Oryzias latipes: one gene and its partners. The protein of the gene in region 2 binds, or shares a complex with, the protein of the main gene of each other region. Links are inferred from orthologs where the notes say so. Each region holds a gene or a part of one and is shown on either strand. Other genes may lie near its edges. The genes, in order: AP-3 complex subunit mu-1, ap3d1, ADP-ribosylation factor 1, ap3s1 and ap3b1.

The links.
Region 1: the proteins of ap3d1 (region 2) and AP-3 complex subunit mu-1 are in contact, whole or in part, in a cryo-EM structure (PDB 9C5C), measured with the Homo sapiens proteins. The link is inferred for Oryzias latipes from reciprocal best matches to the Homo sapiens genes AP3D1 and AP3M1. Residues at the interface, in NP_003929.4 of Homo sapiens: Lys29, Glu388, Gly389, Thr390, Thr391, Arg393, Glu429, Arg432; in NP_001307192.1 of Homo sapiens: Ser25, Ser27, Asp30, Tyr31, Glu34, Pro52, Asp104.
Region 3: the proteins of ap3d1 (region 2) and ADP-ribosylation factor 1 are in contact, whole or in part, in a cryo-EM structure (PDB 9C5B), measured with the Homo sapiens proteins. The link is inferred for Oryzias latipes from reciprocal best matches to the Homo sapiens genes AP3D1 and ARF1. Residues at the interface, in NP_003929.4 of Homo sapiens: Lys48, Asp50, Phe77, Ile80, Glu81, Ser84, Asp107, Met110, Leu111, Thr112, Thr113, Asn114, Gln115, Arg117, Lys118; in NP_001019397.1 of Homo sapiens: Tyr35, Ile46, Pro47, Thr48, Ile49, Gly50, Phe51, Asn52, Val53, Glu54, Trp66, Lys73, Ile74, Leu77, His80, Tyr81, Gln83, Asn84.
Region 4: the proteins of ap3d1 (region 2) and ap3s1 are in contact, whole or in part, in a cryo-EM structure (PDB 9C5C), measured with the Homo sapiens proteins. The link is inferred for Oryzias latipes from reciprocal best matches to the Homo sapiens genes AP3D1 and AP3S1. Residues at the interface, in NP_003929.4 of Homo sapiens: Leu18, Gln19, Val22, Arg26, Cys60, Thr63, Tyr64, Gln66, Met67, Leu68, Gly69, Tyr70, Asp71, Ile72, Ser73, Lys87, Phe88, Thr89, Arg92, Ile93, Leu96, Gln100, His103, Tyr126, Leu132, Thr133, Ser136, Tyr161, Lys164, Lys165; in NP_001275.1 of Homo sapiens: Met1, Lys13, Pro14, Arg15, Leu16, Ser17, Lys18, Phe19, Pro22, Tyr23, Glu25, Asp26, Gln28, Gln29, Arg42, Asp43, Glu44, Asn45, Val46, Cys47, Asn48, Phe49, Ser80, Glu81, Ser82, Glu83, Leu84, Gly85, Leu87, Asp88.
Region 5: the proteins of ap3d1 (region 2) and ap3b1 are in contact, whole or in part, in a cryo-EM structure (PDB 9C5C), measured with the Homo sapiens proteins. The link is inferred for Oryzias latipes from reciprocal best matches to the Homo sapiens genes AP3D1 and AP3B1. Residues at the interface, in NP_003929.4 of Homo sapiens: Lys352, Leu442, Ile446, Ser471, Tyr483, Trp487, Glu491, His517, Ala520, Val521, Gln524, Asn525, Lys528, Val561, Gln562, Ser563, Ala564, Leu566, Glu567, Gln569, Glu570, Arg571, Ser573, Cys574, Gln577, Leu578, His581, Ile582, Leu585, Lys588; in NP_003655.3 of Homo sapiens: Asn75, Lys466, Lys467, Gln470, Val494, Ala497, Ser498, Trp501, Leu531, Leu534, Gln535, Asn538, Lys542, Asn567, Tyr568, Asp569, Asp572, Arg573, Arg575, Phe576, Ile577, Gln579, Leu580, Lys586, Gly588, Ala589, Leu590, Ser591, Tyr593, Lys596.

What each region holds. Positions count from the first base shown.
Region 1 is NC_019873.2:23,927,733-23,934,338, forward strand, and holds the start of AP-3 complex subunit mu-1, read right to left. Parts: upstream 4,090-6,606; 5' UTR 3,899-4,089; intron 3,687-3,898; 5' UTR 3,682-3,686; coding exon 3,409-3,681; intron 2,313-3,408; coding exon 2,141-2,312; intron 2,047-2,140; coding exon 1,909-2,046; intron 1,822-1,908; coding exon 1,736-1,821; intron 1,644-1,735; coding exon 1,510-1,643; intron 593-1,509; coding exon 385-592; intron 182-384; coding exon 37-181; intron 1-36. Other genes in the region: adenosine kinase, read left to right, coding at 5,744-5,847. UniProt on the Homo sapiens protein: Part of the AP-3 complex, an adaptor-related complex which is not clathrin-associated. The complex is associated with the Golgi region as well as more peripheral structures.
Region 2 is NC_019862.2:30,493,005-30,498,914, forward strand, and holds part of ap3d1 (AP-3 complex subunit delta-1), read right to left. Parts: intron 5,748-5,910; coding exon 5,608-5,747; intron 2,054-5,607; coding exon 1,980-2,053; intron 1,893-1,979; coding exon 1,843-1,892; intron 1,623-1,842; coding exon 1,573-1,622; intron 1,357-1,572; coding exon 1,308-1,356; intron 1-1,307. UniProt on the Homo sapiens protein: Part of the AP-3 complex, an adaptor-related complex which is not clathrin-associated. The complex is associated with the Golgi region as well as more peripheral structures.
Region 3 is NC_019877.2:22,744,866-22,749,569, forward strand, and holds part of ADP-ribosylation factor 1, read right to left. Parts: coding exon 4,584-4,704; intron 3,586-4,583; coding exon 3,475-3,585; intron 1,357-3,474; coding exon 1,232-1,356; intron 496-1,231; coding exon 334-495; 3' UTR 1-333. UniProt on the Homo sapiens protein: Small GTPase involved in protein trafficking between different compartments. Modulates vesicle budding and uncoating within the Golgi complex. In its GTP-bound form, triggers the recruitment of coatomer proteins to the Golgi membrane.
Region 4 is NC_019867.2:7,076,467-7,082,376, reverse strand, and holds part of ap3s1 (AP-3 complex subunit sigma-1), read right to left. Parts: intron 4,735-5,910; coding exon 4,643-4,734; intron 2,877-4,642; coding exon 2,765-2,876; intron 2,689-2,764; coding exon 2,617-2,688; intron 2,258-2,616; coding exon 2,150-2,257; intron 530-2,149; coding exon of another isoform or gene 494-529; exon of another isoform or gene 488-493; intron 1-487. UniProt on the Homo sapiens protein: Part of the AP-3 complex, an adaptor-related complex which is not clathrin-associated. The complex is associated with the Golgi region as well as more peripheral structures.
Region 5 is NC_019870.2:3,663,704-3,670,380, forward strand, and holds the start of ap3b1 (AP-3 complex subunit beta-1), read right to left. Parts: upstream 4,030-6,677; 5' UTR 3,703-4,029; coding exon 3,539-3,702; intron 1,478-3,538; coding exon 1,402-1,477; intron 983-1,401; coding exon 908-982; intron 1-907. UniProt on the Homo sapiens protein: Subunit of non-clathrin- and clathrin-associated adaptor protein complex 3 (AP-3) that plays a role in protein sorting in the late-Golgi/trans-Golgi network (TGN) and/or endosomes.

The DNA of each region.
Region 1 (6,606 bases), on a different chromosome or scaffold from region 2:
TGGAAAAAGTATTTCAACAGCTACAAAGAGAGTTACCTGATATGGCCAGCTGCTGTATCTTCAGGTCAATGTTGAGTGAGGGGTTCTCTTCAGGTTTTGGGGCCCCGGGCTGCATACTCAGACTCCCTCGTAAATTTGGGAGCTTCTGGGGGTTTAGTTTTCCAATATCCCAGACCAGCACCTATTGAAAAAAAAACTCCTTAGAGTGAGAACAATAAAATAAAATGCCATTTCATTTTAATCCACTAATTGCTGGCTATTTAAAATCCAGGCATGATTAAAAATAATAGTTGTATTTTTAATTTGCAACTTTTTTAAGGCTGACATAGATTACAAACTGTTGAAACTGCGTCATGACATTTGTGGCACACAAAGGTCTTCTACCTTAGTGGCAAGATCGTAAGTGTGGGTCCCCTGTGTGGCTGTGAGGTTAACAGTGAGCACAGCTTTAGGCATGTGGACTGTGACCATCAAGCCCTCCACCGTTTTCCCCATGGTCTGCTTGGGCCCGATGGTGATATCCAGACGACCACAAGATCCAGCCTCCAAGAAACTGATGTTCTGCTTTACATACACCGGGATGGCAACAAGACTGAGGAGAAAAACAGCCACGAAGGCAGTCTAGGTAAATTCCCTCAATAGAACTATAGTATTATTCTCTGCTAAGATGAAAAAGGAGAGTAAAATAAACCATTTATTATATGGCAGCATGTGTCTCATATTTCAAAATGAAAGTCTTTACCGGAAATGCTTTTTCATTTTCACAATAAAGCTGGGTACGAGGACTCAAAAATAAAATGAAAAATCAATCAATCCGCCAAATGGCTCTTTGTTTTTCTTCTTCAACACATTTCAATTTCAAAATGTTCCCCAGTAAATGGGTATCCAAATTTCAATTAGAAACATCTAATTTGATCATTGAAAAAATGAAAATGCACTCCCCCCTTTTTATTATCGCTTTAACTACGTCACAGAATAAGCGGTGTTTAGATAGAAAATGAAAAAAGCTGTTTGGCGTATTGATTATTCATTTTATCATGGAGTCAACAGACGCTGCTTTATTGAGAAAATGAAAAAGAATTTCCGGTACTGACTTTTATTTTGAAACATGAGTCAACCATGGTTCCATAGTTTACAGTACAGCAAAAGTATTTATAAATCATACTTCTGAAACTGAAGTTCATGCATTTGTATTTTATTTTTTACAGAAAATGTTGTTTTTCTGCAACATGAAACCCTTAATTGACTATAAATAAAGTTTATGAAAAATCATAGAAATGACAAAGGAACAGAGTTATGCCAAAATTTAATTGCAACAACCTCCAATTTAAACTATGCTTTAAGAGGCTAAACTGTATATTGAAAGTAATTTTCTTTGTGGTTGAAAACTTTTATCCAGCTCTGAATTTTTATAACCTGAGGATAGGATGACATCTTCATATATGCAGTCCTCCTCATAATCCATAGCCAGCCCTAGTCACCCCATTGCTCTCCCCATGAATCACTTACTTCTGAGAGCTGACTTGATATGACATGAGAGTGAAGTTTCCATCTGGAGGGATGAAAGACAAAACCCGTTCCGACTCCCAGCGTTTGAACCTCACGCAGGGATGAAAGCTCACATCATCCAGGAGACGAGGATTCTGTCAATAATACATCAATAATGAGCAAAATTTAGACTTGAACAAAAGTGCACAGATGATCTAAATACAGATATGGGGGGAAATGAGCCCACCATGAAGGACAAAGTGAGATCCGGCATCCCGGTAAGCCTCACACAAGCTTCAATGACCCCCTGGATCTCTGCAAATACTGTTGTCCCTGTTCAGTAAACAAAGTCACCGGTATTACTGTGCATTTAACTGCATTTCCCACCAACTGCTTTATTCTTCTCTTCTTTTCAAGTACCTGATTTATCGAGAATTGCATCAATTTCTTCGATCACATCAAAATATGCCTCATTGTTTGTGTACTTGACACCAGCCCTTCTCCATGGAACATTAGACAGCTGACCTGTTGGCAAAGTGTTTCCAACATTGCTACCTCCTGGAAAAAACAAATGAAATGTAATGTTAACGCTGCCCTTCAGTGTGACTTAAAGAGCCAGAAGTTCACAATGTTCCTTGTGACGTTTGTTTACCTGTTAGTGTATTGACGACTGACCGCAGAATGTTGGGAGGCTTTATCATCTCCTTGAGGACATTGGACTCGGTGGCGAGCGGAAATCCGTTGTCGAGCATCTCCTCCAATAGCTCGTAAACAATCACTACATTATCCTTGATTACAGTTTCTGAACATTCTCCAAAGTAATCCTGCAAAAAAAAAAAAAAAATGTTACTGAAAGGACAACAGTGGCTGTCCCTTTGAGCAGCGTCAGCAGACCAATATGGGCAATAACGTAAGTTCTGTGTTCTATTAGAAAGAGTGTAGCACAATTGAGAGTGCTGTACTTCTAAGCACTTGAAGAGCCTTTTGATATTACTTTGGATCGCAGATTTAATAAAATCCCTTTAATTTGCATTAAAGCACACAAAACTATCAATTTAATATTTTCAAAGATATTTTTTGTGTTTTTCCTTTTCTGCTTTGTCACCATACCTGCATGTACACATGGTACATTTACTATTAACTGAAATCTGACAATTCTTCCTTTTTTTAACATGAAACCCATTCAGCAACATTTCTTACAGTGCCCCATGACAATTTCCGTCATAAACACAGTTTAGTTTAGACAAAATAAAACATAAGTCACAAAGTAAAATATCTTTATCGTGTATTAACAAATCCTTCCATAGCCATTTAGCCTGCATGGGGTATATAATGGGATTTTATTAAAAAGACGTATGATATATGAGTCAACACTCTCCAAGCTCTTTTAAGTAATCTTATTTATGGTTTTATACAACGTCTTTAACGCTTCCAAGAATAAAATCATTTTAACCCTAACCAACATCAGGCACAGCACTTTGCATTACCAGTCCCCAATTTGGAGGTACTGGTTTGGCCACTTTATTAGGTTTATAATTGGTGTATTCACTTGTATTTTAATTATTTTGTATGTCTTGTGTTTCTTTTTAATGGTGTTGACATTTACACTTCGAGTCTGAAATAAAAATACTTTTTTATTGGTTTAAATGATAATTCCAAAGACGATCCCTGGTTTAAGTCAGCACAAAATACTAACTGCAGTCAAGGTTAAGGTTGCTGCTGAAATTCTTATATTTGGCCAAACTAATGCCTCAAAGAATGTCTTATAAAGGACTTTTTAGTTATATCTTTAATATATATTATATACTTACATGAAAGTGCAGCAAGAAGGAAACTTATTCCTAGAGCTTGACTAGAAGCACTTAAGATCTGGCACACACTTATCACAAAGAAGACATTCAGGTAAGAAATCAATACTACCAAGAATGTATCTCCAACTCTGTGCAGGAACTCGATGACAAAAAGTGGAGGCACTTCAGTCTGGATGGCAGACAGGAAGAAGATCTTGTCCCTGTATATACTGATGAGATAGTGGTGTGGGGTCTGCAGGACAGGGGCCACATTTTCTGGGTCTACTGCTTTTTCCTTAGCTTCGAAAAAGTAATCACAAACACTCCGGCTGATAACACTCTTCCAGTGTTTCTCCAGGAAAATGTCTCCTGAGTGGTTAATCAGGAACAGACTGTCGATCATCTCAGCTGCAGAAGGAAACGTTGTTGTTTGAGTTGGTTCTCTTAGACCAGATGGCACACGATAACTACACAATGTCGGTCACATGATTCAAATAACTTAAACTAAACAGTTTGTAAAAAATAAAAAAAATGAAAAGACTTTTGAAATATTATCTGAAAAGTTAAAAGTTTATTGTGCTGAGTGAGATAACAGAAAGAAAAATATGAATCATACTTACCAACTTATCGTTAATCCTGTCAGAGGAAGACCAACATGTAAAGTGCGAAATATTTTTACAGCTTTTACAAAGTTTTAGCTGTAGATCACTTGCTTTAAAAAAAGAAAAAACTCGATTCAACTACAGGGAAGAATACTCAGTTGGTGCCAATATGGAAGTATATCTCATAGGCATCTCAGGGGACGCCTACAGCTATGTGCACACGTAAGCAGAAAGAACTGAATTGTGCTACTAGACTAATAGTTGAAAAACGGGTATATTTACGCTATTGAAGTGGCATTCACGATAATCTAATAAAGTGTAATATTCTTCCCCTCCATTTTTTTATTTAAAGTTAGTGGGTTTATTTTTAATCAGGCAAAATCAGAGGACAGCTGTTTTGCTCTCATTGTTGTCAGTCAGTGGGTTAAAAAAACCGGTGTATAGTTTTGCAGGCAACCTTTGACAACGATCTAAGCCGCGCATCAGACCATTCAGTTTTCGGTGTTCTTTAAAATAGCTAATCCATTGTTGTATGTCAGCATTATTGTGTGGAAAGGTTTTGTTAGAATATTACAAATTTTTAAAGAAAAACTATTTGGAAAACTCAATATGATTTTTTGTATTTTGATGGCATTTTAACGTGTACTGTTGTGAAACGTACGCATTTCCCCATGGTATAACACAATTAATGACAGTATTTGGAAGTTTCCGAAGTTTTATTCACCATTTTATTGTATGTATATGATTAGAAAAAGTAGCACCTATAACTACTACAGCTCCTCGTTAAACTGAGTTGGGCAGGAACCATACTGTCTATGGCAGCAACAACTTACCTACAAGTCACTACCCAGGGAAAACAACAAACTTCCTTGATACGACTGCATTTTCGAAAGATAATTGCAAAGACAAAAGGATTAATATGGGGGGGGGGTAGATTTTGTAAACAATGTGAAGAAACATTCATATATTTAATTTCGACCTATGATCACAAAAAATTAGTTTGGAAGTAATTGTCAGTATGATATAATGACTCAATTTTTTCTCGATTTCTTCCTGACATGGAAAAACAGATCCTGTATGGTTTTACTGATTATGAAAAGTTACTTCACAATTTTATTGGTTACATTTCCTGATTTTATTAACAAAATATTACATTCATTAAACTACATTTGGCTTTAAACCTCAAAATTCCTTTGAATTAATTGCTCAAATCAGACATTATATACACCCAGTACCTACAGAACAGCAGTTAAAACCTATCATCTGTCTCAGCTTTATAGATTAAATAGCTACTTTTATTTATGTTGTTTTTACATTTTTGAAGAAAAAAAAAGGTATCAAAGTTAGGAGGAGGAGGCAGGAGGAAGGGTTATGGTGAAAATTAGATGCAAGGGTCAAAGACTTGAATGCAGGTTTGGCCACATGCAACTGAGTTACAATCATTCAATCATTGGAAAATATCTAACTATAAAATGTGCAACGAGTATCAGACTATAGAAACGTTTATTATGAAATTGCAGGAAGTACACTGAACAAATACAAGGGCGTACAACTATTGAGGATGAAAATAAAATGGGAGACAAATGGCATATGGAGTAGTGATTGTAGTTATACATTTACTGTTGTTGTTGTTGTTGTTGTTGTTTTAGGTAAAAAAGGGTTATTAGAAAACTTTGAGATGGAGAAATTATGGGGAAGGAAAAAGGAAATATATCTTAAAACAGATGGATTTATACTACAAATATGATTAGACCCTCGACATTCACAGTCCGTACCACTAGGTGGCGAACATGCGCCTAAAATTTGTGAGCCAACCGTGAATAAACAAAGAAGAAGAAGACGAAGCAACGTGTTTGCACCACCATGGCGTCCGATGAACCCAAAGCTAAAAAGATTAAACTTGCAGATGTTGAAGAGAAGGAGAAGAAGGCAGACTCTCCGACCAAAGAGACTCTCTCCGAACTAAGGTGACAGCAGGTGATCGAGAAAACAATTCTACTTCTGTGGGAGCATGACCCCTAGTAGTTCTTGATTGCACCCACAAGGCAATTTTATTTTAAGTTTTACCATAATATGCAATTAATAAATGCAGCTTGATACAGTTTCTGTGAGTTAAAACTATTAAGTGGCTTTCTGAAGGTCGCAGTCTGAAATGATCAGCGTAGATTCCGTGCATGTTAACATTTAACCCGCGGATTCAGCAGCGGTAGCAGATAACGGCGCTACTATTTTCTTTGGGAGACGTTTTGATAACACTTTTGCAACGCTGTCGGTAAGGTTTTGAAAGCGCCGACTCCTTATCTGAATAAGAGGGATGAGCGGTCATGGGGCGCAAGGTGGGCAGGGTCATCTTCTTCACCTGGCAACACACTAATAATAAAACAAAAACGAGTCTACTGTGATATAAATGAAATTCAATGTATGATTCTCTCTCTCTACACTTAAAATCGCTGTATTGTGTGTATTTTAGTGCTATTGCAGCTTAAATGGCAAGACCTTGCTGTCTTGCGGCAGCTTGCGCAATCCCACGCAAACTGGGTTAATTACGTGCCAGGGCCGGAACTTGAGGGGGCTTCGACCTCCCCAGCAAAAAGCCCCCCACCCCCTTCAATTTTTGAATGAATATTAGCATAACTTTCATTAAGATCAAGAAATCACTAAGCATCATTAATGGCACCTCAACTAAAAGAACTTTTGTTTTAATTAATTACACTATTAAAACTGTT
Region 2 (5,910 bases):
TGTTACTTGAATCTGCTGTTAGAAATCCGTTTTCACCGCTTCCAGCTGTAAATGTCTGCATATTTTTTCCATCTAAAGAGCTCATTGGTTCTTTGTTTTCAAAGTAATACAAATAAACTTTCACAATAAAGTCATAAAAGTGAAAAAGGAGGAATGGAAAAAGGAAGAAACACAAAACGCACGAGACAAAGGAGTGAACACACACAAACACACACGGGACAGGGGGGTTTCATCTTTCCTGATCTTTGGGTTTTTTCCGGGGATCCCCTTTTCAAACGGATTCTTAAAAATACAAAGTTCTGTCCGTCGTCTGCTGGAGCAGCTGATGATCACCTCCAAGAGGCGCCATCTCTCAGGCTTAAAATAGCAAAGATGTTTACTGCAAGATATTTGGAAAGAAAACTCCTGACTTTACCAAAAAGCATTTTACAGATATTCTTCCCACTTCCATCCATTTGTTTTTCTTCTTTAGAGAAATGTAAGGTAGTATACTTCAGGTGTCGATCCCTTAGAAAGTTGAGTCCGTTTCTTCTTTTTGTTAGCAGCTAAAGCAGAATGCTGCCCTCACATCAACTGGATCTCTTTCCAAAGTCAACGATTTGTGCTCAGGATTTCTGAAATTTGCATGTTTTCCAGTTACAGTCTGATCATTTCTATTTACTAAAAGACGGAAAACTGGTTTGGATCTTGCTCGCCCTCTAACCCGTGGATAAACTGCCCATTAGTGACCAGACGCTCACCAGGCAGTCGGCTAGTGTTCACAGGTTCAGTGAGATTCCTGCTTCAGTTGAAGTTACTAAATCGAGACCCGTACAAAACTGGGTTTGCATTAAACGGGCAGAAAAATGTCTAACAGAAGCTCAAAAAACAGGATTACAAGTCAAACTAAGCTTGAAACTACAAGTCTCTAATCTGCTCTACCAACACCAGACGTCTGCAGTCTACTCCACACACATCTACCATGGAGGTCCAGATAACTCGAATGACTGAAAACAGAAAAGTCTTTGGGACTTTTAGAGCCAGACCTGACATTGGATTAAGACATTTGGGAAGCTGCTGAAACGTCAAATTAAAATGAAAGGTCTTCCTTTTCTCCAGCATACTGCTGTGGGATGTTTGCAGATGCTCTGTAAGTATGATGGCTTTCCAGCAGGTCTCCTGATTACGTGAAGAAAAGAGGTAATGTTCGAGTTATCCGGGGTCAGGGGATCTAATTCCATGTCGTCTAAAGGGGTGGACTGTTCCATAGACAGAAACACGCAGACAATGAGAAAATGACACACTGCAGGCATTGACAGAGGGCTCACAGTTCTGGTCCGAGTCTTCGATAAGGATTCGCAGCTTCTGCACACAGAGCTGTGGGAGGAAAGCAGAGCAGAAGACAAAACCAGAGGCATTAACATCCCCGTCAACCTTTCCACACCAGCGGCTCTTCTGTTCGACAAAACCGGCTGAACCAAATAGTGAAAAGTTCTCTGTGGTGTTTAGATGTTTAAAGGAGCGTCATCGGCAGAAAGTGACTGGAGTGGAAGGGTTATGATCTGATGATGGCCGAGAACGTGGGGAACCTACCTGGATACTAGCACTGTGGTTGGGCATCCCGGAGGACAAAGAAATCAACACTGCAACACAAAAAGCGTCACAGTTTCAACAAGAAATCATGTTTTAGGACAGAAAAAAAAAGAGGCTTCAAGCGTAAATAGCCTAAAAAATATATCTATTTTTGACTAAATAAATGTTTATGAAAACTTTGATTAAAAAAGCAAGTAAACAAATAACATTTTTAACAATAAAACATAAAAATCTGACTGGATGATTTACTAAATGGTTCTCAGTACTGACCTGCAATAACGGTGTTAACACATTCATACAGCAAAGACATGGCGGAGGTACTGGAAGGAGGCAAAAGGGACAGGAGGGTTAATTATTACACCTCTTTCTATACATTTTGCTGGATTGCTTTGATGCTTTGAGCTCACCTGTGGATCAGGTTGGTCAGAGGTTCGATGAGCTTCTTCCCCAGCCGAGGCTCCAGCGGAGTGAGCGCGCCAAACTGCAATGATTATAGTGATCAATTACCTTCATTCTGCTATCATTCTAAGGCTTTGAAGCAACAGAAATGTTCTGCTGTGCTAAAAAATTATACTAATTAATGCAGATTTCCCACTCCACTCTGATGACCCTGACTTTCTTCAAGAAGCTGAGTGCAGGTAACAAAAAAACAGGTTCAACTTGAACATTTTTGAAGACCCACTCCCATATAAATTGTGTTTTTTTTACATGTTCTTGTCGCCTTTTTCTGATGATCGAGGACATATACAATGGGGAAAAATATTCAGTCAGCCACCAATTGTGTAAGTTTCCCATTTAAAAAGATGACAGAGCCCTGTCATTTTAATCATAGGTAACCCTCAACTTTGGGAGACAAAACGAGAAAAGAAAATCCAGAAAATCACATTGTCTGATTTGTAAAGAATTTATTTGTAAATTATTGTGGAAAATAAGTATTTTTTCCATCAAACAAGCAAGATTTCTGTCTCTCACAGACCTGTAACTTCTTCTGTAGAGGATCCTCTGTCCTCCACTGGTTACCTGTATTAATGACTCCTGTTTGAGCTGGTTATCTATAGAAAGACACCTGTCCATATCCTCACACAGTCACACTCCACTATGACCAAGACCAAAGAGCTGTCTAAGGACACCAGAAACCAAATTGTTGACCTGCACCAGGCTGGGAAAACTGAATCTTCAACAGGTGAGCAGCTTGGTGTGAAGAAATCACCTGTGGGAGCAATTTTTATTAAATGGAAGACATACGAGACCACTGAGAATCTCCCTCCATCTCTCTGCAAGTTCTCACCCCGTGGGGTCAAAATGATCACAAGAACGGTGAGCAAAGATCCCAGAACCCCACGGGGGACCTAGTGAATGACCTGCAGAGAGCTGGGACCAACGTAACAAACATCACTACACCACCAGGGACTCAAACCCTGCAGGGCCAGACGTGTCTCCCTGCTAAAGCCAGTACACAGGGCTCGACATAGCCATTTGTCCGCTGGCCCGGTCCTGTTTTTCGAGCAGTACGGACCACAAGACTTTATTTTTTACTTGTCCGCTCGGGCCACTAAAATATCTAACAATTAATACATTTTTCACCTTTTACAATAAAGTATATTTTGCGAAAACGTGTAGATTTACCTCGTCTTTATAATTCACTTTTTCTGCTAGTCCTGTGTTCAGACTTCAAGGGTTTCTATGGGAAACCTTTTATCACTCTTCTCCTCCTCTCCCCCTGGGCGCGCGGCTGTCACTGCTGAGCACCACGCGGCACGCGCTCACTCAATTTTTTTTTCAAACTTTATTGAATGTAACAATTCAATACTAAACAATGTTAAACAGCAACAACGAAGGAACAAGCCAGTGGGTTATATTACATTTTAGGCAGATATATTTAAACTGACACACATATCAGCGCGCCCCCTGGTGGTTTTTCACCGCAATGATCATAAATCCAACACCGTCACTGAAGAGAGACGGAAGACATGGCAGGAATAGATAGGAATATGTTAGATGGAGTGACGGGTGGAATTAGTGCTATGGACAGCAAGATATTTAATGAATGCATTGAAGATGAAACTGTATGCACTAAGCTTGAAGCTGAATGTCAAAGAATCAAAGGCAACTAAAAATACCTGAATCTCAGACTCAAATGGAGTATAAGGTCAAACTACTTAATTTTGTTTTTCTTTACAACACTGTAAGTATTTCTAGTTAGCTGAATGATCTCAGTAATTTAATTGTATTTAATTTTTCAATTATTTAATTTAATTAGGTAACTAAAGTAACTAAAAAGTAAATGTAACTTTGCAACAGTAACAAAAAGCAGAACCTTAAGGCAGTCAGGGCAAAAAAGTCAATAAAACTTCTTAACTATTGATTAGGAACAAATGTGAAATAGCAGTGATTAGAAGCAGCATGAAAACTTCTTAACTAGTGTTAACTACTACACTGCAGTGCTCTCTTCAAAACATCTGAAACAGACTAGAGCAGATTTAAGTTTGATATGCTCTATTTTTAGTCATTGAAAAGTGTATAAATAAGTGCTAGATGTCACCAGAATGCACCAAATTGCACCATATTAAAATTTTCCGGGGGGGCATGCCCCCAGACCCCCCTAAAGTTGCAAGCACCTGCGGAGCGGCGGGTCTCGCTGTGCGCGGTGTCGGGCCAGTAACTTTCAAAAACTACTGGCCCTGTGGGCCAGTGCAAATTTCTGGGCTATGTCAACCCCTGGTACATGTGCAGAACCGTCTACAGTCTGCTAGAGAGCATTTGGATGATCCAGAAGAGGATTGGGAGAATGTCCTATGGTCAGATGAAACCACAATAGAACTTATTGGTAAGAACTCTACTGTTTGGAGGAGAAAGAATGCTGAGTTGCATCCAAAGAACACCATACCTACTATAAAGCATGGGGGTGGAAACATCATGCTTTGGGCTGTTTTTCAGCAAAGAGACAAGGACGACTGATCCGTGTAAAGGGAAGAATGAATGAAGCCATGTATGGTCAGATTTTGAGTGAAAACCTCCTTCCATCAGTATTGAAGATGAACCATGGCTAAGTCTTTCAGCATGACAACAATCCCAAACACACGTTGCCCGGGTAACCAAGGAGTGGCTTCATAAGAAGCATTTCAAGGTCCTGGAGTGGCCTAGCCAGTCTCCAGATCTCAACCCCACTGGAGTTAAAAGTCCGTGTTGCCCAGCAACAGCCGCAAAACATCACTGCTGTAGAGGAGATCTGCATGGAGGAATGGACCAAAATACCAGCCACCGTTTGTGAAGACGTCCAAATCGCTTGACTGCTGTTATTGTCAACAAAGGGTTATAACAAAGTAGTGAGTTGAACTTTTTTTATTGACCAAATTAATTTTTCAACGATAATATTCAAACAAATTCTTTAAAAAAAAATAAAATAAATAAAAATCAGACAATGTGATTTTCCCCCTGATTTAGTCTCTCATAGTTGAGGTCTACCTATGATAAAACTTACAGGCCTCTCTCATCTTTTTTAAGTGGGAGAACTTGCACAATTGGTGGCTGAATAAATACTTTTGGCCCCACTGAATAAAGAAAATTAATCTTAAAACTGCATTTATATATTCATAGAGAGTATTTCTATATTCAAATTGTTGTGAATCAGACGAAAATTGCTCCTCGCCAACATTCCCACCCACAAGTCGGGTGACTTTCTAAAAGAACTTCAGCCGCTCTGCAGGAACTATGTCACTATGTCCTAGAAAACGACACAAGTTTTCTATTTTGCCTAAAAGGAAACACTTTCACAGAAGATCAACATATGATCAGAGTGGGACTTTAAAGAAAACTTTAGGCTGATATTACTTGAAATCTCTAAGTCTTTGGACAACATAAACGTTCTGTTGAACTAAAAAAGGATGCAAATTCCTGCAGACTTTCCCTGCCTGTGTGTCTAAATGCTTAATTTCTGATAACCCAGAGTTCTTTGTGAAGCTAACGGCAGCTAACAGAAAACTTTTGACCAGTTTTCAGCTTATAAAGGCAGATTTCCCCATGAGGAAAACTTACCAGCTTGATGATCTTAATGAGAACCCAGTTATTAGTAGAAGACGTCATGAGTTTGAAGAAAAGAGGGGCCAGTGAAAGGTAGTTCTTGGGATTTCTACGGGCCAGCTCACAGATGACATTAACAGCAGCTGACTGGACCCCTAATAGAAAATAATAGGAAATTGACAAGAAAACAGAGCAAATGAATGTTTGTAATCATACTAATACTGCACAGTCTCTTCTCACAGACTAAATAATTCATGACCCCCCCCCCCCCCCCAGCAAAGCATCGACTACAGAAGTGAGAACAGTTCAGTTTCAAGT
Region 3 (4,704 bases), on a different chromosome or scaffold from region 2:
GCTGATTCCACAGGAGGTGTGTAAAAGGCACGCCAGGGTTACTCCCAGTCCCAGCCAACGCACACAGGCGCCTTCACACCCACACACTCTGAACACACAAGGTCACACACACACACACACACACGCACACACAAGCAGCACAGGCTACAGCCCCTAGAGTACTGACAGAAGAAGGTAGCAGGGCGAGGGAATGAAGGAAGTTCTTAAAGGAAAGCACGAGGGCGGGAAACCGGGTGGGACAGGGGGGCAGAGGGGCCTGGGTCCGTGCTGCCGTCGTGTTGAAACAGGAAAAGGAAAGAAAAAGAGAACAAAAATCAAAAGTGGTGGAATGGATCATTTCTGGTTCTTCAGCTGGTTGGAGAGCCAGTCTAGGCCCTCGTACAGGCCGTCGCCGCTGGTGGCGCAGGTGGCCTGGATGTACCAGCTGCGCTGACGGAGGGCGTGCAAGCCCAGCTTGTCTGTGATCTCTGCAGCATTCATGGCGTTGGGGAGATCCTATGAAGACAGGACAACGTCAGCAATGGTGGAGCAAATGCTCCGCTCAAGAACACATCTGGACCTGGTTCTGGCCAACACCTGCTGGCCCAGATTCCCCCCTTTATGGGTTTACTGCAGTGAACGTTATGTCCCACATTAAATAGAGTTTTTTCACTAAATTGCTTGACTGTTGCTCTAAGGTCCTGATCAGAGATGGCCTTCGTTCAAATTAGGCCTGCACAATATACCGCAAATTTATCGTTATCGCAATATCCAGCTCTGCAATAGGCATATCGCAAAAGACTGCGAATATCGCAATAAATCGTAAACCCAAAATGTGTTAAAGCAATCTTATGGCAGCTTGACGCTTTTAACGAATCAAATAAATCCCTTTATGCTTTGACCAATCAGATGGACGCCTTCCCATTGTTGACCAATCAGATGGAGGCCTATTATGTTAGATGTTTGTCACCTATGTCGATGAGGGTCATTTGGAGTGTAATTTTAAACTGTTTCTAATGAAATGGGAATGATGTTTTTGGCATTTTTCTATTTTTTTTATATACCGCAAATTATATCGTTATCGCAATATTAATCTCTACTATTGCATATCGCAAGTTTTCCTCATATCGTGCAGCCCTAGTTCAAACAAACAGGTTTCATCGCTCCTCAAAACAATGATCCTGAAAACATGGAGATGCGGCTACCGCCTGTTCTTCACGCCACAGAAGACGCCGCAGACGTCCGGCCTCACCTGTTTGTTTGCGAACACGAGCAGCACGGCGTCCCTTAGTTCATCCTCCGCCAGCATTCTCGACAGCTCCTCCCTGGCCTCGTTCACCCTCTCCCGGTCGTTGCTGTCCACCACAAAAATGAGCCCTGCGAAGAAAGCGGCAGAGACCACCGGCTCAGAAAGACACAGCCAGACAGAGGAATCGAACCTGCATTACAAAACCTTTATGCTGGGCTTTGAAAGAGGAGGTTGCCTCTTTGTAACGATGCTATTTCTACAGACGAACACATAAAATGTTGGAGGACTTCTGAAATCTTTGACTGGATCCAATAGAAACTCTTGAACTGGAGTCTTTGGGTTTAACACACGCGTTTGCTTCAACCTTTGTCATTTGGACGTCATGCGCCACTGTGACCACAAGGCGGCGGTGAAACAGACTTTCGAGTGTCGTGATAAAACACGTGAATGTCACGCGGCTGAGATACAGTCAGACAGCTGTGACACTTCAAAGTTACAGTCGGGAATCTTTGACATTCTGTCAAAAGCTTTGCTTCTAAAAAATATTTCAGGATGTTTAACGTCCAGTTTAACTCGTTGCTAGGTTACCGGGTATTACTAGTTAACCGTGGACCACTTTGGCTATAAAAATGGCAGCATCACTTTTGCCGGGTAATTTTTTACCCGATATAATATACAAACAAACAAAAAGTACTTGTCATAAAAAAAATAGATCAAAATGATCAGCACATGATAAATTAGAGTGGGTTTATTTTATTTCCCACTGTGGTAAGTGTAGCAAAAGGAAAAGTCTTCATCAGGAGTGAAGGACTAAAAATGGAAGACAAAACATTTGGCAGCACAACAGCAGGTTGAAGTGTAGAAAAGAGCCTTGAGAGGAAAAGCTCTGTGAACAGCGAGCCGTGGGAGTCCAAACGTCTACCTGGACGCAGCTTTCAAGCCGATCAGAAGTCAACTAGAATCAGTTCCATCAAACTGGAACTGGTTAGCTGCTAAAAAGACAGTTCCTGAATCAAACTTTCTTTATTTGCCCGTTTTCTGTGACTAAACAACAGTAACTTTGACAACACACACATTTTTTAGTGCTGTTCACTGTTGAACTGCTTAATTCTGACCCTACAGGTGATTTTAAAGATACTGGTGCATTCTTCCCTTGTGAGCGTGTTTCTCTTGGTCTGATTGCCGCTCGGCACAAACCCTGTGCTGGTGTCCGATGTTTCGTTCAGTCACTCCAGCTGACCCGAGACTTAACGGATCTTTTTTCCACAAATATCTGAACATATTATTATTGCACTACTTTGATCTTTTATGTATTTTATTGCATTAGTAATTTTATGAATTGTGTTCTTAATTTGCCTAGTTTTAAACTTTCTTCAGTCCTTTATCGTACAGCACTTTTGTAAATTGCTACGTAAATAATAAATGTCATTCATTTATATAAATGTAGTTCTATTTTAAATAAATCAACAAAGCTTATCAGACATGCAAGTATGTATTTTTTTTCCAGGAGAGTCTGGATGAACGGTTACAGACTCCACACATACTGAGCCAGGAGGGTTTAACTCCATGGGAAACCCAGAACCTGTGAGGATTGCTGAGTTTTCCAGAGCCTCTCTGGATGCTCACTGCAGTTGACAAGAATTAGTCCCATATATGCTAGACCTGCGATATTTTCAACAGCTAAGCACATACACAGTCCACACACACAACACATAAACGAAGCCTTGATTGGCTGAGATCCTTTTCCAGGTGACCACTGTTATCATATTTCATGTATTCTTCTGTTTTCAAATGACTTACGTTAACTCAGATAGTCTAATCCCAGGATCTAAGCGTGACGATTTGGGCCTAAAACAACAACACTGATTTGTTGCCATGGTGAAAATAGACTACTTTTAAGGTGATGTCGTTCCCAAAAGCTTAAAAACGTTTGTTTTTATATTAAAATTGACAAAATAAAAAAGAAAAGCCCTGACAGAGAAATATAGAGAGGAAAACCAGACGTGGAGGTTTGTCTCTGAAACCTAACTGTTACACCAACTGTTGATTTTCTAGGCAGGAAAAACTCAAATAGCCCTAATAGTTGCTGACGACTTTAATGTCAGGAAAAAGGAGGAGTCAAACAATAAACCCTTAGAAGAATTGAACAAAAGTATGAGTCATCGGTCCAGCAGCGTTCAGATCATCTTCAGCGCAGAAGTTAGGCCCCCTATAGGCAGTAATGCGCTCCAACAGTCGGCCCTTACCTTGAGTGTTCTGGAAGTAGTGGCGCCACAGCGGCCTGATTTTGTCCTGACCGCCCACATCCCACACCGTGAAGCTGATGTTCTTGTATTCTACCGTTTCAACGTTAAAACCTGCACAAATGAGGACAGGCTTAGTGGCAGACACGGATCTGAAAGGCTCCCCAGGTTACATTAAACAGGTCATAAATTATCATTTTAATTGGATTTCAAGTTTACCACAGAGTATCTCCATTGTTAAAAGCATTAATTGTCAATATCTTTGTTCATTACAAATTCATAAACTAAATCATTCTAAATGTCATTTTTTTCAATCTTTTAAAAATGTTCTCAGATGATAAGGCTGATAAAATACATTTTTAACTAAACGTTTAAATCAACACTAAAGCTACCAAAACGTGCAGAACAGAGATATTACAAATAAGCAGAGAAAAGCCCACGTGGAGCTGAAACGTCTCCGTTTTCATACGTTTATCTGAACTCATCCAGCTGAATGTGATCTGGGCCGATCCACAGATCGAGCTGAAAGAATTCACCAGGAAGCAACAATAACAGCCGTGAATAACTAGGATCAAAGGCAGCAAAATGCATCTCCTTGTAAAAATCTTTGGCCACAATATGTTTAGATTTTGTGGAAACGAGCTGAAAGTCAGCTCTGATGGCTGACGGTGTAAATGTTTTCTATCCAGACAGCCGGAGTATTGACTTAGACACACAATGGTTAACTCAAAAACCATGAAATACAGGTAAACAGTGATGAGTTCAGTGTCAGCTTGGAGAAACTAATTGAGAAACCAGAAGATTTGTGTTATTCAAGCACAGAATACTGCAGCAAAATGCATTGTATGCAGAAACAGAGAGGTTATGAAATTGCAATGTTTTTAGCAATCCACTGCTGTTACTGCTGTTTCTGTTGAGATCAGAACAGACTTCGTTCAACGCAATTTTTAAAAAAAATCCCGACAACAATTTTGGCGTAACCTATATATCATTAATATAACATTTTGCTTTTTGGGTTTAACAATATCTCTCTCACTAAGACAGTTTCAGGATGAACAGATCCATGCAGCGTTTTGACATGAAAAACGATCCATTGCAAACAGAAATCCTACCGATGGTGGGGATGGTGGTGACGATCTCTCCAAGCTTTAGTTTATAAAGGATAGTCGTTTTTCCAGCAGCATCCAGCCCAACCATTAGAATTCTCATCTCTTTTTTGCCAAAAAGGCCCTT
Region 4 (5,910 bases), on a different chromosome or scaffold from region 2:
CCTCAAAGTAGGACACTGGAAAGTGAGAAAAACAATTTCAGCTTGATTACTTTGAGTTTTTACTGGGTTTTTTTTATCCTGTATGTAAATTTTAAAAAGAACTTAATCTGATGTGGACAAATACATTTTGGATCTGGCAGTGAGGAGGGGATACTTCACTCATAAGATTTAAAAAGGTTAACCCGACATTAAAATGAAATCTTGCAGTGCTCCTGCCTACAAAGCATTAACACTAATCTACAGGATGTCAGTTTAGAATTTCTTATCAAGATTATTGTGTTTGGCACAATCAAATGCCTGAGTATTATCCTGTATTTTTGGATTTTAGAGAGAACCTGTAATATTTTTGGGTCTGTTGTGAAAGATTCCTTCTTCTTGTTAGTGGCATCCGTCTAGAATTGCATGGGGTGGGGGTGGGGGGCATGAGGAGAGACTCAAAGGGAAGCTAAGTTAGAGTTAGGGTGTTTGGTTGTAAATTTAGCAGTACCTGTGTCTACCTGTCCTGCCTGGTAGACTGAAAGATAAACGTCTGTAAAGAGAGAGAAGAATGGAAAGAACTGGACAGGGTCAGGAAAAAAGAGGAATGAGGAATGTTAAAGCAGGTTAAAGTAATAACAGTTTTATCTCCACAGAAAGTGATAGGACCCATCATATGCCACATCTGCAAACGTATTGCTGATACTTTCGCTCAATGCTGAAGTTTCTTTTGGTTCAAACACATTGCTACGAAAGATTCAGGTAAATATTAGATATGACGTCTGCCACTAAATTGGATTTTTTTGGTTATTGATGAGACTTGACAGACACTGTTCTATGAAAAGTGCCTGGTTCTGAGCGTTCTGTGGCCTACGATAGGTCCAGAAGGGAAGAGACAGAGCAGCTACGATGATACAAGAACAGTAAAAAAAAACTCTCCTTACACAATTTCTGTTCAACAAGAAGCTTTTGTCGGGTTAAAACAAACAGTGCAGCTCAGATTTTACAACTCTACAGTTAGCACACACAGCTGAACAGCCTCTAAAAAATCTAATAATACAAACATTGACTTTAAGCTTAGAAAAAACAGTGTTTTTTGGACTATAAGTCACACTTTTAGGAGGAATTTATTTAACAAAATACGGAAACAAAATCGGACATTTCATCTTGAAAGGCAAATCATAATAATGGAAGAGATAACAAATAATAGAATGAATATGTGCACGCTTCACTACCATAACCGTATTTAGCTCCATAAAACATAGGAGGAGTTGAATAAGTTTCTAGTATATTATCGCAGTAAATGAACAATTAATAAGATAACCGCAGCATGACAACAAGTCAGCTAAACCCTTTATATCACTTTAAATCCCTAAATCCTTTAAAGTCTTCATCTGTCAAGCTCGGAGTAAGACTGAGCGGCGTTTCTTCTGTGTTACGGTCAGTAGTAAATACTGACACACTTGCCTACAGTTCCCTCTAGCGGTTGATTTATAAAAAATCAAATGTAACTATTCTCCGAAAAATACGGTACACATTTTGTAAAGGGTCGTTTCTCAACAGGAAATAAAGTATTTGCAAAATGAATGTGCAGACATTACACAACGTGCTTGGACATATTTTTGACTCAGTTTATCGATCAGAGGCTCTAATCCACACTGAGCGTAGAAAAAGAAAACCATCATTTAGTGAAATTGTCTCTGGCTGTCTGTCTTTCCAATAGAGAAATGAAAGCGGATTTCTGACCGAAGCTGCATGGAAAACAAACAAATGTACTTGCAGAGCACAGATATCTGAGCGAAGACTTTGAAAATATCGGCTCAAGAAAAGAAAATCTAAATCTCCAAACTTTCCCCTCAACGTGATGAGTATGTAGCTGAATGTCATTCAATGGTAAGGAGGATTTAATGGTCACTGATTCTGGAGGTGAATTGATCTGTTTTTGTATATTTGGGTTAGAGTATAGGATCTACTGAGGTTTGAGCTGCGTTGAGAGCATAGAAGCAGTCAAAGAAGAGGCCAGAAAAGAGCACAAACACTTGAGAGAAGGTGGGGAGCATCCACAGAGTGACCAAGAGTAGCATGCAGAGTGCAGCGTACACACATGCCTGCATACTGTGCAACATTCCTCAGGGAGGCCGAGGAAAGAACAAAGTGACAGATAACCTCATACCTCAGCTTTCTCCATCTTGTTCTGGGCGTCCACCTGTGTGATGATTTCGTTCATGTTGGTCTCTAAGACCATTCCACCCATCACCATTTCAGCAAGAATATTGTGGACCTGCAGAAATAAACCCAAATTACAAATCATCAATCATTTAAAGTTTCTACAAGACTTCCCTGAGTTTCAGCTCGTTTCAAACAACACATTTTTTTTCAAACTTCCTTAATAAAATGAAAACAGGCTAAACTTCATTTTGGTTTAAAGGTTTCTCTATTTGTGGAGGCTCTAAAGCAGGTATGGTATTTATGGTTGACTCAAAAGTTCCTGCAGTTGCGAAACAGAAAGTCATCAGATAATAACAGGCAATAATAACTACGGGAAATTATTACAAAGAAAAAGGGTCAAAGGGATTGGTAGGCTGAAACAAACAGTCTAATAAACGTGTTACATCACAGAGAGGTGAAAGATTTTCCTACCTTGTCTACATGGAAAATTAAGTCAAGTTCACAGACGTTTTCAAAGCATTTGTCCAACGTTTCTACAAATACCTGACAAACAAAGGGAACAGTTAGAGAGAAGATAACTAAAGAGTATACATTCTTCTGAAAGTCCGATTTATTTTACCTGGATTAAGTCTAAAATGCCTAATTCGCTCTCTGAAGAGTCGACACAAAACACAAAGTACAGCGTGGCATAGTGTCTATAGATCAGCTTGTAGTCCGAACCCCCGATCAGCCTGGAACACAGAAAGAACACGATGACAGCGAAGGGAAAATATCTAGCAAACATTCTTGACGGCACATTTCCTGAAACTCTCTTCAGGTTTTATCACCATCTCTTGGAAAAGAGCATAAAATAGGTAATATTCTTTAAAACAAGCAGAAAAAAAAAACACTCTTATCAAAAGCCCAACCTAGTATAATAAGGTACCGTAAACATGTTACGACAGAATTTTGAGGGAGCAAAAAAAAACAGGATGTTTTCAGTCAGGCGTATAAAGATTGCCCACAATATATCCGAATAGCTGGAGATAAGACGGGAAGAGATAAAGCTTGTAACTGGGTTGGACAAGAGCTCCTCAACTGTTTTCTTCTCTCACAAAAAGACTTGTAACTTTTGAGAACTCACTAAAGAGAAAATCCAGTGTTTTTTGGAGTATTTGTTTGCTAAACCTATGTTTTTTTATTTATTATTAAGTGTTTATATAATTTGTCTGAAGTTTTTCATTTTATTATAAAGAGAGAGCAAGAAAAGAAAAAAGCTTTTAAGCCAACAAAGCAAAGCGTTGCAACTCAGATTCTTGTAGACCCACTCTGATCATCTTTTAATCTGTTGTTAAAGCGTTCCCAGTGAGAGTGGTCTTTTCATTATGATTATGCCGTTTTCTAGGACATAGTTTCAGCAGAGCGGCAGGAGTTCACCCCAACCTAACATGATCGGTGCAACAACAAAGGGAGAGAAGTATTGGAGATGTCCAGTTCTGAGCCAGATAACAGCTCAGACGAGGAAAACAAAGATGTACATGGATCTATTCATCTACAAGAGGATGCATCAGAATGAAGTGGAGCAGTCGTATTTTCTACATCACAACTACAGTGTTCCTCCGCCAATTCGGGTTTCAATATTCGCTGTTTCACGTGTTCGCAGATTCCTTTTTTTTTTTTTTTAATCACGTGACTCCTCTGGTTCGTCACAAAAGCTCAGACAACTCAAGATGCTTGTATGAGACTTGTGCTGCGGGAATTTCTAAGGAGGGGAGCGGGGAGATGAAGAGCCAGCTGGCCAGTCGGCCTCCCCCCGGCTGCGGAAGAATATTTCCCAGCGAGCAACAGCTGGTTCCAGAATCGCTATAACCAAAGTTTGTGCCCCAATGGCATCAGCTGACTCAAAAGCAGCTTGAAAATATCCTAATACGCTGAGGAAGTATAATTATCATCTGGATGAATGAATGATGGATGAAACCAACCTCTTCTGGAAGAAGATGCCCTTTGGCACTTAAGGAAGTACGGGCTCCTGCTTTCTAGGCATAGAGAAACAGACTGGCACTCCTAATGTGCATTATAAAGTACGCTACAGTACAGTCTATTACTCTGAATGACTAAAAAAACCATGTTGAGCAACGTTCTTTAATAAATGTTTCACAGAGTATCAGAAATGTTTCAGAAGGGTTTTTGATGAGTTAAGATTGCAGCATATTGGCGGAAGTCTCTGGTCCCTAACCTCCACGAATACGCGGAGAAAACTGTTCAATCTTTTTCAAACAGCATCTTTTTCATCTGCTCCCGATTCACAGCAATTTGAATTAACAAATACTCAAAGATACAATTTTACGCCCAATGATCTTAATATATGTCCATCATTAGAAAAATGCTACAATAACATTTAAAACACCATAAAAAAATCCTCAGAGTGGGTCTTTAACTTTTTTTTTAAAACAGCATTTTGAAGATTATGTTCCTTTGCTCCTTTTTCATTTCCACATCCTGGCATCGCAGAACTTACATTCCTCCTTCTAAGAAATTGCAGACGTTTTCATCTCTTTTTGAGACCAAGTGGAAGGTTTCCCTTATGATCTGCTGCTCCGTGTCTTCATTCTGCAAGATAAAATGGATAAATAGGCAACATAAACAACAAAATAGACAATAAATAAATCTTGTTCATGTATAAAACCTTGTTCATTTGCATAAAGCCAGACCGAGCTGGAAAAAGAACATGTCACTCGAGTTTTTTCTGCAACTTGTTTAAATCACCAGTTATCATCCAGTCAGACAGAAAGCAGGAATTATGACAAGCTGACACAATGAATAAAGGAGCTAAAGGCATTTCTGTTTGACCTTCTGAAAAGGTTTATAACATTATAAAAATGGAGATAAAAGCACAAAATAAACTTACAGGGAATATATTGCTAAAGTGATATTTATTTCGAAAACTCAACAGTGAGGCCGTCGGCTGCTAATGTCCTCTCAAAGCCTTTATGAGCTATTATTTTCTCCTTTGGCTCACCACTGGAGAAAGAGCTGTGCTCGCTGCAGATGCCTGCAAGTCTAAAGACACCATGTGACACTTGGCATGAGACCTGCAGCTTTAGCCGTCCTCACAGTTTCATGACACCAGCCAGCGCAGCAGTGAGGCTGCTGCAGCAGCACACACATGAACCCTGAACTACTTTTGTTGGTTTTGCTAGTCTTTAATTGAGTCGGAGTCAGGTGATCTATGATAAACAGCTGGTTTTCTGCAATCTATAACTGAAACACACGTCAGCTTATTTAATTTGTTTTTAGTTTTTTTCTGGCTGAACAATTTGTTAAAACTGTGAACAAATGCTTTAAACACTAATGCCTCTCATAGGTTGGCAGTTATAGCTTCTCGGACGGGAATTAAGAGTCATTCAATATCAGGTTTACATGCAACTAATTCATTATTCATGGCCTTTCCTTCATTCCTGTGAGTAAAAAGGAGACACTACCATTCAGCTTAATATGGTAGTGTTTTATAAAGTTTGTTTCCATGGTAATACACTGCTAAGAAATAGAAAAAGATGCATTCTTAGCATGTTGCCTTGTAAACTCATTTGAACACAACAGCAACAATGTATTAGAAGCCTAGCAAAATGTAATTTAGACCTTTATGGGTGGAAACATTGTGTTTGGACGAGATAATGGAAAGATAATGCTTTCAACTTTACTGTTTTAATTAGTTTTGCTCTGCCCATCTAGAAACTATTCCCTTTATGGTTTAGTTTAATGGCTGATGCAACCAAACTGATTGTA
Region 5 (6,677 bases), on a different chromosome or scaffold from region 2:
TAAGTGCAGCAGGTTTATCCTCCAGTTCTGTCTGGACCGTTATAATCGTCACGTCTCGCCGCTTCATCGGCCAAACGCTGCACGGACAAGTGTACAGAAGTGTAACATTGTCTGTATATTAAAACTGGACTGAGCGAGCGCGACATCACCCATAGAAAAATGCCTAACTTCCAGCTTCAGCGAATGGAAGCCAATTCGGTCGCACCTCTTTCCACGCTATGGAGGCCGCCATGTTAGAGCCAGACAACAGAGATTGGTCAGAGTCGGTCTGAGTCAACGTTTCTACGGCAACTACTGTTGTCAACCAGGAGTGGGCTTGTTCAAAATCCACACCACATCCAGGGAGCTCCACCTACTTTAATTGAGGCATCTGATTGGTCAGTTTATAACTTGAATAACTGTTGATAAAGAAAAAATATTGTGAAAATAAATGAGGATTAAAAGAAGATGTTATTTCTCTATAGAAGTCTATGAGAAGGAGGTACTTCCTGTTTGGAAGGCCAGTGAGGAGGGATCACTCAGTCCAGTTCTCTTAATACAGTCAATAAAAGGAAAAAGCTTTTTATTTTTATTTTTTCCTCTCAGCCTGGTGGAAGTAGCTCCTCTTTCCTAGATGCTTTTTTCATGTCTGGCCCTTGCGAGAAGCGTGCAGGCTAACCTGACTCCGAACAACGGAAGCACAAGAAACCAGAATGCTGGGGAAATAAAGTCTTGTTTTTCTCAAAAATTTATCTTCTAGATCAACAAATTCAAATTAATCGCTAAAATCGATTTGTCAAATACACACAAACTGAACCAACAAAAGCCTCTGAATGACATCAGTCCCTACAGTCAACCATAGAAGAGGAAATCCCACACATAGTCATTCACCGCATGTTGTGTCACAGTAAGGAAGTATTTCTCTTACCTCGATGTTCTTACTCGCAACGTTCTTCACAACAGCTGGAAACAACTCGGATGCATTTTTCCCTTTAGAGATGAGCTAAAATGAAATTTTAAAACAAAAAGACAGAGCAGATATTGGCAATTTCAGATTTAATCTGGTTTTATAACACAAATCCTAAAGGAGCTGTTAGAAATAATGCACTGCGAAAACAGGCCCCCTAGAAATAAGTGAAACATTCTTTTTTTTTTAAAAGGGGGGGGGGTTAAGAAAAATCACTGAAAATTCGCATTCTAAGGAAAAAAAATCTAAGACATATTTTCTTAAAGATTGTGTTGCTGTTGAAAATCAGTTTTTGCAGTGTTTAATGAAATGTTTAGAAGACAAATCACAAACTGTTTTAGGGATTAAGAGTTCAGGGACTTCTAATGTAGAAAAAATGTTGTCTCCATGCATTCCAGGACATTCCAGGGCTCCAGTGCATTTGTTCCATCAGTTTCCTCCCATGATGCACTCACCCCAACAACCCTCTTCATGGCCTCCAGTTTGAGGGACTCCTTGTTGCTCTCCAGCATCTCTTTCAGGTCTTCATTCCTGAGGACAGACAAACACTTCTGGTTTTAACCGGTTGGACAACATTCTCATCAGTTTTGACCGTTCTCTGGACGGTACAATGAACAATGACTGCAACGGGGAGTTCCTGCCCAACAGCTTCACCATCTCCTCTGTTAAGGCATTACATCGCGCTCGTTCTTCAGGAGACACTGAATGCCTTCAACAGCAGCTTATGGCTTTGCTCAAGAGCACGGAATGACATTTTTATGACACAGACAACTTCATCCAGACCTATATTTGTTTGAGGCATAACATTTCTCAGTTATGTTATCACAGTTTTTCATTCAAATGACAGGTGACCATCACATCTCCAGGTGTACGGTGGCCTTAGTGGCCGTGTTCCAACCCCCTCGTTTCTCCGAGGCCCACCAGGGGTGGGGGAACTTTTTGACTAAAGGGTTCTAAAATTTGACAGGAGCAGATGCGTGGCGCTTTTAGGTAATCCACCTGACGGGCATGTCCAAAGTCCGGCCCGGGGGCCAAATGCGGCCCTCGTTCAAATTTCTACCGGCCCACAGTCTCCTGTCATAAGATCTATAATATGCGGGCCCCTCCGGCACTTTCTTCTGGCTAAATTACGCTCCACACTATTGTAAACCTGGGGCGACTTGACATTCAGAGCCTTAAGGGCCAAACTGATTCATTTGATTCTATGATCGAAAGCAGTGGTTTGTGCTTCTGAATAAGTTAACTATTTGTGTTATTTAGCTTTTTACGTGATTTAAATTCAGAACATTGAGCACTTAATAGTGACTAATGCTTACCACTTCATATGAACCCAGATTTAATGTTGACAAAAGGCTTTAATAACCAGACTCTCTCTTTATTCTATTTCCTGTTTTCAAATATGAAAGTAATTTTGGTAAAAATGTATTTAAAGACATTTCTGTTCTATGTGGGGAAATAAAAAGTATCTCAAAGTATCCCAAAGTATCCCGAATCTGGCTGTCTTTAGAAAAAAGTTTTCCAAGGGGTGTCCAAACAAAAAAACATTGAATCTGGACAAAAACATGGTGTAATTTTGATTGAAAATTATTAGCTATGTTAAAAAACATAGCTAATAATTTTGATTGAAAATTATTAGCTATGTTAAAAAACATAGCTAATAGCCCCCCCCCACACACACACAGACACAATTTGTGGCTTTTGTTCACATTTTAGTCTCAAATGCACCAATGGGTTGATGTCCCTCAAAGAAAAATGCAAACTTAGAGAAATGCTGCGTTCGTGTGGCATTGGAATTTACATTTCGGACTCAAAAAACACACGTGAACGTCAGAAATACAACAAATCTGCCAACACTACATGATGCAGCACAACTTCCTGCAGATAAAACAAAAGGTAAATATATTTGTACTCCACCATCTATGGGGAATTGCAGGGAAAATAAAACATTAATAAGGATTATCAGCATAATTTAATAAATTAAATAGTATAACGGGCCGCAGGTTGCCCATCCATGGAATTGACTCTGTAGAGTCCTAAACAGCAGCCATGGCGAAGATGCAGAATAAGTGGCTTCATATACAGGTGTGATTTAAAAAGTTTTAGTCACAGCTGCCCTTATGGTTAGACTGAGACCGTCTGCGAGCCAAAAATGGGCAAAACTGGAGGAGGCGGACAAAGAGCGCGCACTTATTGCGTGAACAGCACTAACAGGCGACTTGTGCAGCGCACAAGTTTGGTGGGGGTCAAACAAACGGCCGATTTCCCCCATAGCAGCTCTTATGGGGTATATAAATGTTCTCTATGACCCGTTACCGCAGCACACCCCTTAGAAACAAAATGCACACGAACATTTTTGCTCTACAGCCTTACCGATCGGTCTACGACCTTGACATTTCACCTGTGTGGCATCATTTTTCGCTCACTCTCAGCCCATTTCCACCCCAAGGGCAGTTCTGTCTAAGCCAAAAGGCACCAGGGAAACAGTAACACACCAGAATCATCAATATCGTGGTTCATTTATCAGAAAACGATTCTGGCAGAGAAGCTTGCATAGATGTTAGTACTCGTACATTCAGGAAAATACTGCAATACCCGGCTTTGTGCGTCTCCTTTGGTTTGCCGTTGGTGTGTGTGAGGGCCTGCTCTTCCTGACTGAGCTCAGGCTTCAGAGTGAGCTGTAAGCTCTCGGCAGAAGCCAGCATTGTCCTGACGGCTCCAGCCGCCTCAGACCGTAAAGAAGGGAAGCCGCGGTCCATACCAGCCGCCGTCCCCGCAGCGACTCTCCTGCAAGAGCTGGCTGGAAGTCCACGGATGGAAAGCTCAGCTCGTCTTCCCCCAGCGCTTTCTCGAATCAATCACAGCTGCTCAAAACTGGGAACTAAGGACAAAAACTGCACAGGCTGCACTGTGATTTGTGTCATTCACTTCCTCCCTTCCTCTTCTGCCAAAAAAAAAAAAAAAAAAAAGTCACAAGATACCCTGTCAACTCACAAACAGCAAGTCATCCTGATCCCCGAGGGCAACACCTCCTTCTCTCAGCTGGACTACGCTCATTCAGATGTTCCTCCTGCTCTGGAGATCCGGCTTCCTTACCTGCGTCCCTCCCTTCCTCCCTCCCTGCCTGGACATGTGACTGTGGTCACTTCCCTCCAGGGGAAAAAGGAGGCCCTTATCTCCTCCGGTGGGTAAACATGGAGCCACTTTTCATCACCACCTCTGCGCAATCACTAAGCGCATACCAAGCCTGGTTTGGCTGAAGAGGCGGGCAGGACAGGCCTCCATCAGGAGATAAAAGGTAGTGGGAATAATGTAAGGAAACAGGAGCAGAAAAACCTGCCTCCTTCCACTTCCTCTGGAGGGTTTGTTTGACCCCCACACCAACCCTCACTGACTCACAGGTCGATTTCCACGGCACAGGTTTCTCCTTCCCGCTCTGTGAGGAGACGTGTCTTCTGGGGGAAAGTTTATCCAGTTTTTAATGCCGTCCAGTTCTCGTGACCCTACAGTCTACTCACTGTGCAATTCGTCACATTCTTGATGTGAAAGAGGGAATTCAGACACATTCTTCTAACAATCTGACTCAAAGAAAGAACAACTGTGTAACGAGTGGAAAAAATAAGATTATTGCAGCTTATGCATCGGTGTGAGTTTGTCGATAAACTATAAAAACCCTCGAAAATCAATTAAAGTCCAACTCGGATCATCCTTTGATCTATTTTCAAAGCATTCTCAGTGGTTTTCATGAGAATGATTATGCCGCATTTAGACAAAATCAACAAACACTTGTGTCACTGGGACGTAGTTTCTGCAGGGCAGCAGAGCTCATCACGGGACTACTGGTTTAAACGCTCTACCAATAGCTCACAACCCCTCACACACCCATCCTAACATAAGCGCTGCAACAAAAATGGCGTGCAATATCGGGGCCATCCAGCTGTCCAGATTCCGGCTCAGACGAGGAAAACGAAGAAGTGCACGGATCTACGCAGCTACAAGTGGATGCATCGGAATGGAGCAGAGAGCTCGCTGCACTAACTTCTACGTCACACTTAGAATCTTTTTACAGCATTTTTTTTGTCTTCTACTGATTCACATAGATTTAAATATAGAAATTTCTCATTTCATTTTAATTTTCTTTGTATGTGTCCTCTATCATCAGATATTTGCCACAAAAATATGTGAAAAAAAACGCTGAAAATATCATTTTCATCAGAGCAAGTCTTTAAAGGGTCTATATCCTGAAAAATCTACTTTTTGAGTATTTCAGTGTATTATAATGTTAAATGCTCACAAAAAACAACCCCAAAGCGACATTTTGATTCGTTCACGTATTTTCTGAGTTTTTCGCTCCAAAACCTGCTCTCCAAGCAGTGGGGAATCGTGGGTGTAAAGTTCCTCACCATGACTGAGGAGGCTGTGAGCAGAAGTGACTTCCATGCTGTTTGGCTGTTTGTGCTTGTGGTCAAATAATTAGGCTGTAATGCTGGAAAGGAGAATATGGAATCTGTGTTTGCTTCTTCCTCTCTGAGACTGTTGGAGACGTGCAGAACGGACACTACAAATGTTTAAACGTGGGCGCATGCGGCTTGTATGTGTGTATAAATTAGCTTAAAACGTAAAGGATGCGGCTTGTAATCCGGTGCGCTCTATAGTCCGGAATTTATGTTGTATTTATGAATATATAATATATATAGATGTAGTTTACTTTGAAAGGTTTAAGAAAAGCTTTATAAAGGCCCATTGAAGCAAATGATGCACAATTACAAGAGCTGCTCATTGGAGGGCAGTATTACCCAAAATAAGAAGATACCATAAAAAGAAGCAAAGAAGAAAACATGAGATGATTAAAACCAATAAGTGACTGAACTTTCTCATCCAAACACTTTAAAAACATTTTCCTGACCTTTGCTTGATCTGATCTGTGATAACTTTATTTGTTGTTAATTTTTATAAAAACAATCATAACATAGACAAACTGAAAAAACCTCAACATTTTCCTTGTTAAGAATAATTTCTTTAAACAAAACCCAATTCCAAAATGGAGTAAAAGCAGACATTGGCTTTTAGAGACTCGTAATACCGCCCTTTGCCAAAACTTCACCCAACAAATGTCAGAAAGAAAGAAAAAAGATTTTTGTCAATATTTGTCATCTCATTGTAGGCCATCTTCGTTTAAAGTATGAGCAAACTGAGAAGAAATTTGATGGACTTTCTAGACTTAATTCTGATCTTTATTTGCCTTTTTTTTCCTATGAAAACCCATCAAGAACATCCACACAAAGGTTATAACACATACAAACATACATCCAAGAGAACAAATCTCCACAATAAGAAATTAAAATTCCTGATAACAAAAACAAAAAAAGAGATTATTGAGGCAAAAAGAGCTTTTATTGTAGAGTTTTCTGCTGTGACTTTTCAGTGCAGGAAACTGCATTTCTGACATGAGCTTCAACAGTCTTCTGCTAACAGACGAGAGCTTTTTCTTCCCTTAGCTTAAAAAAATCAAAGTGAAAAAAACAACTATGACCCCGACCCCCTGACCAGTCATGTGAGACAGTTTAAAGGTCTATTTTCAAACAACTTGAAACTCTGCCAAACAAAAGACCAATGTTAGAAAGGTTTCAAACCAGCAACTGTGGAGAAGTTTAAAGAGGCTGAGGTGAATTTCAAAGTAAACGTATTTCCTGCTGAACAGTGAGATAACAGCAGGATTAGAATCAGAATCATA